Linked DNA regions of Caenorhabditis elegans. The protein of the gene in region 2 interacts with the protein of the main gene of each other region in a pairwise test. Each region holds a gene or a part of one and is shown on either strand. Other genes may lie near its edges.

The links.
Region 1: the proteins of gbh-2 (region 2) and cah-6 interact in a two-hybrid assay, tested with the Caenorhabditis elegans proteins (one large-scale study listed by BioGRID).

Annotation. Positions count from the first base shown.
Region 1 is NC_003279.8:3,626,644-3,631,879, reverse strand, and holds cah-6 (Carbonic anhydrase), read right to left. Parts: upstream 3,635-5,236; 5' UTR 3,575-3,634; intron 2,444-3,574; 5' UTR 2,410-2,443; coding exon 2,141-2,409; intron 1,980-2,140; coding exon 1,682-1,979; intron 1,635-1,681; coding exon 1,404-1,634; intron 1,359-1,403; coding exon 1,272-1,358; intron 1,225-1,271; coding exon 1,150-1,224; 3' UTR 768-1,149; downstream 1-767. Other genes in the region: jmjc-1 (Bifunctional lysine-specific demethylase and histidyl-hydroxylase NO66), read left to right, coding at 225-595.
Region 2 is NC_003280.10:8,483,961-8,488,161, reverse strand, and holds gbh-2 (Trimethyllysine dioxygenase, mitochondrial), read right to left. Parts: upstream 2,284-4,201; 5' UTR 2,225-2,283; coding exon 2,116-2,224; intron 2,059-2,115; coding exon 1,737-2,058; intron 1,661-1,736; coding exon 1,489-1,660; intron 1,446-1,488; coding exon 1,230-1,445; intron 1,109-1,229; coding exon 999-1,108; intron 954-998; coding exon 653-953; 3' UTR 591-652; downstream 1-590. Other genes in the region: T13H5.1 (Receptor-type tyrosine-protein phosphatase kappa), read left to right, coding at 1-36, 135-215.

The DNA.
Region 1 (5,236 bases), on a different chromosome or scaffold from region 2:
TACTTAAAAATTCTAGCCGTTTTTGGGATAAATTAAATTTAAAATTGCGACTACTGTAGAAATTAGTGTATATGCTCCCCGTGACAAGAAAAAGTTGCGCGTAAGATACGATGCACTCATCTACCTGGTTCCGTCATAACTCGGATCGTGAGATTTCATCGAGACCCCCTCCCTCGAAACCCTAATTCAGCAAAAACAATAATACTGACTTTATCATTTTCTAGAGGAGAAGAAGCTCAGCGTCCTTGGCTCATCAACAAATCTTCTTGGAGATGACCTCGTCGATTTCACTGCTCGAACCAAAGTTCGTTTGATTCGAAGACACACTCAACGACTGCTGATGGAGAGTGAAGATGCCTGCTTCATTAGTCATCGAATCAACAATTCTCGACTTTTCGAAGGACGTCCAGAGCAGATTGTTGAATATCCGATTAGTGGAATTGATGCGTATAGGGTCCTGTCAAATTCTTATCCTGAATGGAGAACTCTGTATGAGATCTTCTCGTTGAGAGAGACGAAGACGAAGAGCAGAAAAGAGAACTTGGCAGCCATCCAACTTTTGTTCCAGATTGGGGTTCTTTTGGTTAAGAATTGAATTTTTAAAGAATTATTTATTTGAAAAACTTGCGTAAAGTAGGTTTTCTTTACTGTTTCTTTGTTTTTTTCTTGTTACCATCTTTTATGCCTACTCTTCGTGCCTACCAGGCGTGGGAGGCAGGCTTGTCAAATGTTTTTCATGTTATATTACTTTCTTTCTTGTTATCATTATTATTTGTGAATGAAATTTTTTTTTAATTTCCCAATCTAACCAAATATTTATTACAACTATACATCTAAACATTTTTTTTCAAAAAGAGATCAAGACGCTTGGCATATGTGAGACCTTTTGGAGAGAAAAGTGTGTGTGAAAAGTGAATCAAAAATATGTGAATGCTGGGGGAAGTTATTGCGTTTTTGGATTATTGTATTGCAAATCTGAAAAATGGGGCTTTAAAGGCACATAATGACGCTCTATCTAAATGTAGATCTTGCTGAAGCATGTGCCTTTAAAGTTCCGGAATGGGTTATGTCTTAAAAATAGTATACGGAAAGCATGACTGAACGAGAAGACGAGTATCACAGCCGGTTGGCGGTGGTTGAGGTACCATATCACTGTCGGAATCCGAGGTCGGGAGCACCGGCGACTGAGCGAAAGCTACTTTGGATTGTACGAGAGGAGGGGTTCTGAAATATAAGTTTTCTGGCCTAAAGTCTGATTTGGAGGTTTATACCTGAATTGGACGAAGTGGCTTCATTGGGACCTTATCAGAGAATTCTTCGTCGTAGCGTCCGGCACGGACCTCGCGGAGCTTGTCGAGCTGGAAACAATCAAAATAAGAAGTTTCCCAGTCTCATTGACTAACCTGATGAGAACTAATCGGAAGAGCCGCTCGGATGACAATCCAGTTGACAGTCTCTCGGAATGGATCAGTTGTCTCCGATCCTTCGTACATCCAAAATTCCTTCGTCTTCTCGGCAACCGGGAAGAATGTTTGGAAGTCGAATGAGCAGAGTTTGCATTCACTTCCTTTGTAGATCACTTGTGGTAGAAGATTGATCAACGGACTGAACACTGCGTTGTCGTCGTGGGATTCCTGGAATTTTAGAGGTCTTACGTCACAACTTTCTCATTCAAACTTACATTCAGAAAAACAGCGATCGCAATAACCCCATTGGGTTGTTTGAGAGCATCGGCCATTGTGGCGAATCGCGTATTCCGATGAATAAGATGCATTTCTCCTGCGTACCCAACCCCACCAATTGTGTGCTCGGATCCGTTCATCGGCTCAGTTGCCCAATGAAAATTTACAGCGTCCAGATGATATTGCTCTTCTGGGAGGAATGAAATAGCCAGCTCACTGCTGTTACCCTCACGCATCAGCCAAATCGAATTGCCATCGTTTACTGCTTTGAATTCACCGGTCGATTCGTAGGTTACTCTGGAATTTTGAAACTTTTATTTTTTGAAAAAAACATTCCGCTTAAATATCAAAAGCTTCAAAATCAATGTTTCTAAAAATAACGAGGGCACACACACAAAGTAGAAAAGCAATAAATTTGGCGAATTTGCCGCACACCCCTGTTTTAGATCTCTCCTTACTCAAAGTGTGCATTCTGAAGATGCTCGCCAAACGCAGTGATAACCGGAACGATATCAATCGGCGACTGAGTCCTTCCCAACGATGGCACATTGAGCACCTTGCCCAATGAATCCAGCTTCACCTTGTTCAATCCAGTTTTAAAGGCACTCTCCATGAACTTTGGAGCCTCTTTCAATTGATTCAACGAGTCAGCGATTGATGGAGCCGCCGCTTCGGCTTTTTGCTTGAGTTGGGCAAACCCACCCTGTAGTTGACTAAGGAATGCCATGGTTGGTGGGAGGTGGAGATGAAGATGGTTATTACTGGAAAAAATTGAGATTAGGGTTTAAAAATAAATGGAAAATGATTGATGTAAAATAAGATTTTTCAGAATTTTGAAAAAATTTCAGAGAATAAGATGTCTTAAAAATAACTTTTTAAATTAACAGCGACCGAAGCGACCTTATGAAGCCTGCTTGTTTCTAAATCAAAAAATTATTTTCAGAGTTAACGGAGCAATAATTGGTAGCTTGTTTTGCGAGCTCAAAAGCAAAAAATGTTGACAGATCTAAGCTCAAGGAAATTGAGCTATTATGAGAAAAGGAGCAATGAATCGAGCATATAGGATATTTATAGGGGGGAAATTGAGAGCTCATTGAAAGGGAAACTATATTACTTTTCTCACATATGTTAGATGAATATTTTTTGTCTCGACGAAAAAAAGCCTATGAAAAGTGACGTACGAAAAACCAAAAAGTCATGCCGAGCCATAGTTAATGAGCGAAGAATTTTTTACAGAATTTAGGAAAGCGCGCGGTTATGCGTGAAAAACTTGCTGATTTTTGTTTTTGGGCGTCAAAATCTTAATTTTAGATTTTAGAGTTACTTGATTAGCGTCTTCCTGCCTTGAACGTGCCTACTTTCAAAAAAAATATATTAAAATCAGGATGAGCACATGGAATAGATTTTAGCGTTGACTAAAATGCACAAAAATAAGCGGTAGGCAGGCAAGAGGTGCGCAGCAGTGAAACATGGTGCATTGTGTCTGCACACTTTCGTCTAGCCTACGTCCGTAAAACACCGTATTTTACATACACTTCTAGAGTTATCAGAAGTGAACAAGTATATTCGGTAGCACGTCAAACAGGGTGCACTGTCTTGGTGTCAGCAAACTTTTTTATGAGCTCACTTTTTTGATGCACCATATCTTACGATTAAGTTTGTTTTTGGCAAAAGTGGGTATATGCTCTACGGAGCATAACCTGGCTTTAAAAAATATTTGGTGCAAAAAATCGAACTTTAAAAATTTTTTCAGTACGCGCCAAACATAGTGCATCAATTTGGTTTTTTGCACTATTCCTCTAACCCCCCGTCGGAGATGCACCATATCTTACGCGCAGGTTTCTCCGAATTTTTAGTAAATCACGCGCTTCAATCCCCGTTATTAAACCAACCCTGTGATTCGGCTCGAAATTCTTTCGTACAACCGTCTGTTATTCGCGTTTTGAAATCAGAAGACAGCTACAAAAAGAGAAAAGGGAAAACAGAGAATTTGAATCAGTGGAGGGAAGAAGTCAGCCAATGACGGGCGGCGCATAGTGAATTGAAAAAGAAGGAAATAAATGGAAGAAGCAAAAGGGAAAAAACATAGAGAAACGGCTAAATAAGACTATAAAGTGACGTGGCTGACGCTTTGAAATTGAAATTGAAAACATCGAAGCGACTGAAGTGAGGGGAAGAAAACAAGGGGTTTTTGGTTTTGCAGAACTAAATTTGTAAAAAAATAATGGCGGGAAATAGGTGTTCAGATTCTAAAAAAAACACTCTACAAGTGAAAATAGTGAAGCAGCCGACATCTAACGGCTCTACGATAGCCCAATAGGGCGAGGCCCGTGAGATGTCGGGCGTTGATGCCCACCGTACTCTTTGCTTATGGTGGCTGTTGGAGGTATTAAAAAGCCGTTAACTCCAAATTTTCGAAAAAAAAAAATTTCAAAGAAATTCCAAAATTTATTTCAAATAATTAGAACTTGACAAAAAGTTGTTTTTTGCATTTTTGTTGGAAAAGTACACTAAAAATAAAGCAGCCGACATCTAAAGGTTTTACACAAGCCCAAGGCGCGGTCGTGAGATGTCGGCCGCTGTCGCTGACCAACTTTGACAGCGCATATCTCTGTGGATTTAAAAGTTATCTAAAAAGTAAAACTACGAATTTGTGTGAAAATTTATTTTCTATATTTTTTCAATTAGTGTATGTTTTGTAGAGTTAAAACAGCAAAGATTTAGGGCCTCGAAGTTAGTGGAGAAATTTTAAAAAAATCAAATAACAGGAAGCCTAGGGAAATTCTAAAATTCCGAAAAGTTTTCTGCTCGACCAAGCAGTAGACAGCTTCCGGTTTAAGAACCGGACGCCGCCATAAAAAAAAACCAAAAACCTGCCGAAAATGAAAAAAAAAGTGGAAAAAGTTGAAAGTATCAACAGAGTCTCCTCCTCCTGCTCAAAAAAGTCGATAGAGTCGCGCGCCTTCTCTCGAGTAGAGGGTAGGAAGACCACTGGCTGCTCGAGCTGCTCGGCTGCACACATTCTTCGATGTAGGGAATGTGGGGGGGGGGGGGGGGGCCGCCGCAATGCTTTCGATAATTCTTCTAGATTTTCTTCTTTTCTTCTCTCCCTTTTACATAAATACATGCTGCACATACACTTGCAATTATTCTGAATGGGTGGTGGGGAGAAAAAAGCGACGAAAAATGAAAGGAATCTTTTGAAGAAGATCAGGAGGTGTCGAGAATTTGATACCCGTGAAGCTCTAGGAGAATGAGAATCCGGAAGATAATGGGGATCAGTTTGCAGAAAAAGTGTGCTCCGAGGGTTGTAGCTCGATTTGATTGAGGAGAAAAATCAGTGGCTGAGGTTTCTAGTAGAAAAGTCTATAAGTTTAGTTTTGAAAAATGTTCCACTTGGACGGTTTAGTGTATATACTATCTAAAAATCTCAGAAATATAGACAGCTTTAGTTGAAAGTGTCACTAATTTAATAGGCGATCAAATCGAGATTTTTGTGGGTCCTGCCACGATATTGAAGTCATTCTTCATAACGGTTTACAAAAACTCGGCCA
Region 2 (4,201 bases):
AATCGTCATTCAATCAAAGAGAAAAGCTCGTTTAGGGTATACTTTCATTTGCACTCACAGTTCTGAAAATTTAAAATTTAAAGAAAAAAAATTAAACGTACTCTAAACATCCCATTCTGAAACTCAAATTTCAGAGTAAATTCTCATTCCGTCGACGTAACACAACTCGTCAAAATGAAAATAACGCGGTAGATCAACGTGTGAACAGCAATTGATTCAGCTCGTTTTTTCGAGAATATTCAATTCTTAATTCAGTTCCTTCAACGGGTCGTTCTATTTCACTCAACAATTGTTTTCTGATAGATTTTATTTTGTTTGTAAAATATTAATATTTCTAAATATAGACGTTTTCCATTTCTTCCCCTCTCACCCTTTCAGTACAGAATGGTTCCACTTTTCACACAACATTAATACATATCAAAAATTATTGTTCTATGTATGCATATATTTTTTCTGTGTATTCTCTTTGATAAGCCTTTCTGGTTGTTTATCAAATCAATGCTTTCAGTTCTTTTCACTCTTAATTTTTCCTGCAGCTTCAATTTTGTCTGTGATTTTCTTTCTTGTTTTAATATATTCGATAAATATTTATATTTTTAATTAATTCAAGAATTTATTTGGTTCATAAATAAATATCGATTCATTCAAATATTCATAAAGAAGTTTGTGACTTCCCTGATAGAAATGGAATGGCTTTTGCCATAAAATTATCTCGTGATAAATAACATCCACACATTTGTCGATATCCTTGAAATGATGTTCTTGAATGTAATATTCTAAAATTATCAATGAAGATCACTGATCCAGGTCGTAGAGAAATCTCGATAGAGTTGTCTGGATTATGGCAGATTTTTGAGAACTTTTCATATGCTTCATAGAATTTAATTGTTTCCGCTGCGGAAGCTTCAGATGAATTCAGACATGAGAATGGAGCGCGATCATAGGGATTAAACCTGTAAATATATTTGGAAGGTTCTATTTTTGAAATAAAAATTTACCTAATTTGTGTAATATTTCCAAAGGAATTTCTTTCAATTACTGGTTTTTCTAAACTGACACTGTGAATAGAAGAACCTGGTGGAGAACCTTCAAGATAGTGATGAGATATCTGGAAAAAATCTGGTAACTTTTATGAGTATGTATTCCAAAAGAGCGAACATAATTTGAAAGTTAACACTACATTTGTAAATATGTTGTTTATATTGCAGCAAAAATTAAAAATCACTAACCTTAGTATTGCAAAGTATCTCAAAATCTTCTGGGCTTTCGTTTCTCAACTTCTCAGCGCAATAAAACGAATCTACCAAAACCGTATCTCCGCCAGTTTTTGCAGGTGTGAGACAATGGAACACTTGAATTCCAGGTGTCTGATCAAAATATGTACCATCGGTATGAGGCCCAATTTCATCGCTTCCGTAAGCAGTGTCTTCGTATGCAGGTTCGTCCTGAAAGATGGAATCGAACGTACAACAATAAAAAAGCTATTACATTTGTTGCTGAATTGCTGAAAACCCAAAATTGGCCAAAAAATGTGTCATGGACTGGAACCAAACTTTGGCAAAGTTTTTCCGTCGCTTCTGATGTTCCTTCTACGCCGTCTACTATGATCACACCATACTTCACTAAGTTTTTCGAAAAGCTCTGAAGAGAAAGGGTAGATCTGAAACTCGCAAGATTTATTTTGAATTTTTATTACAGAAATATTTAAAACCACAAATTGGTCAACTTAAACTCACTTTGAAATTCGCGGTACATCTTTCAAGCTTTTAGAATTCCATAATTCATAAATTTTATTATCATTTGAGACATTTTTTTCTACTTTCCCTTCTCTGATAATGTTTCCAATTTTAAATTTTGATTGATGCCCGTCGATCCAAACTATTTGCAGTGAATTTGTTGCTTCATCAATTATTACTTGATTGGAATGCTTTATTTTGGATAAGCTTGTTATATCACAGCAGTTCGACTTTCTTTGATTTGTTGGAAGATGATAAAGTTTCTGAGAAGTACAGTGATCCCTGAGCCAAACGAACGGCATTATTAATTTCGACGGGTTCCCTATAAGAAAACTATTATAAATTTCAAAGTGAAATAATAATTATTAAAAATACTGGCCTTCATTCTCATAGCGTATTTCCAGGCAATCATTTTTTGAGCGAATATTCTTCAAATTCCAGCCGGTAACCCATGTGAAACCTGATACAAGCCTTCTTTGTACAATCATGGCACCTAGCTGAAGAATAATTTTGAAGAGAGAAAGTGAAGAAGATTTCATTATATGACGAAAAAAAAGGTTTATAAATGAAGAACCAAACTACATTGAACTTTGTACAGACATGTACAATGGTAGATAGACACGTTATATACCAGCCACTAAGATAAGAAAAAGGACATTTATAGGTCATATGACAAGGACGTGAAAAATCGAATATTTAAAGTAATGTTTGACTGCAAGGCGGTTTTCGAAAGTGTTAGGAATTTATAGATTAATATTCAAATGATATACTCCTTTTTTCAATTAGCAAACGAGAAACGCTAATCTGGAATAAGTGATTCAAACTGTGTCTAGAATGTATCGATTGATGTTGCCTATTTTCAATAAAATATTGATCTCTGAAAAATAGGTTTATGTCCAGCGGAAGAAATTTAAAACATTTTATTAGTTTTGAATTTTATGTTTCAATAATCGACTAAATGATGTTTAAATTAATTGAAGGGCAACTGTATCTTATAATCCTGCCATCCTAATATGGACTTCCAGGTGCTTCTGAGTTGTCAGTCCAATTCTTTAAGAAATCTCACCCCGGGGGAAAATGTTTGAAATCAGTTCAATTGTGCTAAATCTTTTCAAAAATGTTTTTGAAATGTGTTGATAATTTTATTGGGCAGTTCGGGTTTTCCTTTCCCGTGTCCAATTTCCTTCGCATCATAATGACACTCATATTATACTTTTTTAATTCGACCAAAAATAGTTTTTCTACGATTTTTATATTCCATTCACTTTTCAATAATAATTAACCAACCAAAAGTTGAGACATTCAACAAATCTCTAAATTTCTCAAGAATTCCTACTTTTCCAAAATTTGGCAATTTGCCAAAACTATGGCTACAAATTTTGAGAAATCTAAAACCCCTCGGAATGATTTTTTCCGCTTCCTTTATGGTACAGTCACAAATTTTGTGCAGAAATCCACCGCCTTGTTCAGCAGCAACTTGTTGAAATTATGTTTCCAAGCCAATAATCAAAAAATGATAACCAGAAATGGGAACGCCCCTTTTTAACAAATCAGCTTTGATTTAGGCTTGCAGGGAATGATAAGATGGTTTCCTCTAGAAATTTGTTGATGAGATGATAAGAAACTCACAAGGAAAATACTTTTTTAGAACTAAAAGGTGCATCAAATGTGCAAAGTTCGTGTGACTGTAAACAAATTGTAGTGGTGATTATAGTGTAGACTGGGGAAGTGGAGTGGGAGAGAGATCCAAAATGTGTGAGGTTTAGAGTGGAAAGAGAGAGTGTTGGGTTGTTGAGAGAGAATACGTGTTTATTTCGTTTTTTTTTCTTACCTTCAGTTTAAAAATCAATACTTGGTTTCTGATCTAGTTGTAATTCTTTTTAAATTGTTTATAATAGTCAACAAGCATAAATTGCTTTTAATTGACAGCATTTTCTAATTTATTTGAATTTAATTCAAGACATTCGGATTTAGAAATTATAGATTATGAACTATTGAATAACTGACTATAAAAATAATGTTTAAAGAACTTCTCCAACGCCTAATTAATATCAATGTAGTTTCTACGAATGTTGCGCATAAAGAAAATAATTTTGGAAACATGTCTTTTGACACACAGTAAGTAAACTTTTAAATTAAAAAAAAAGAATTTAATGTGAAATTTAGATTTTATTTTTTTATTTGCTGCAATAATGTTTTGAAAGCCGGATCCGAAAATTGTTGCAACTTCGCTAAACATAATAATAAGTCTAGATCAATGAATCGATCCACATTCTTTACTGCCTATCACTGTTCAATTTCTCTAATTGTAAGTCATAAAACAATTGAATGCACCTCAATCCCCATATGGATTCCTAGGAGAAAATATTTGAACTTGACAACGAGGAACGTTCAAAGAATGAGAGTACGTATTTGTCATCATTTTAGTGCACTAGACACCAGACAGACGGCGGCCTACGTGACTT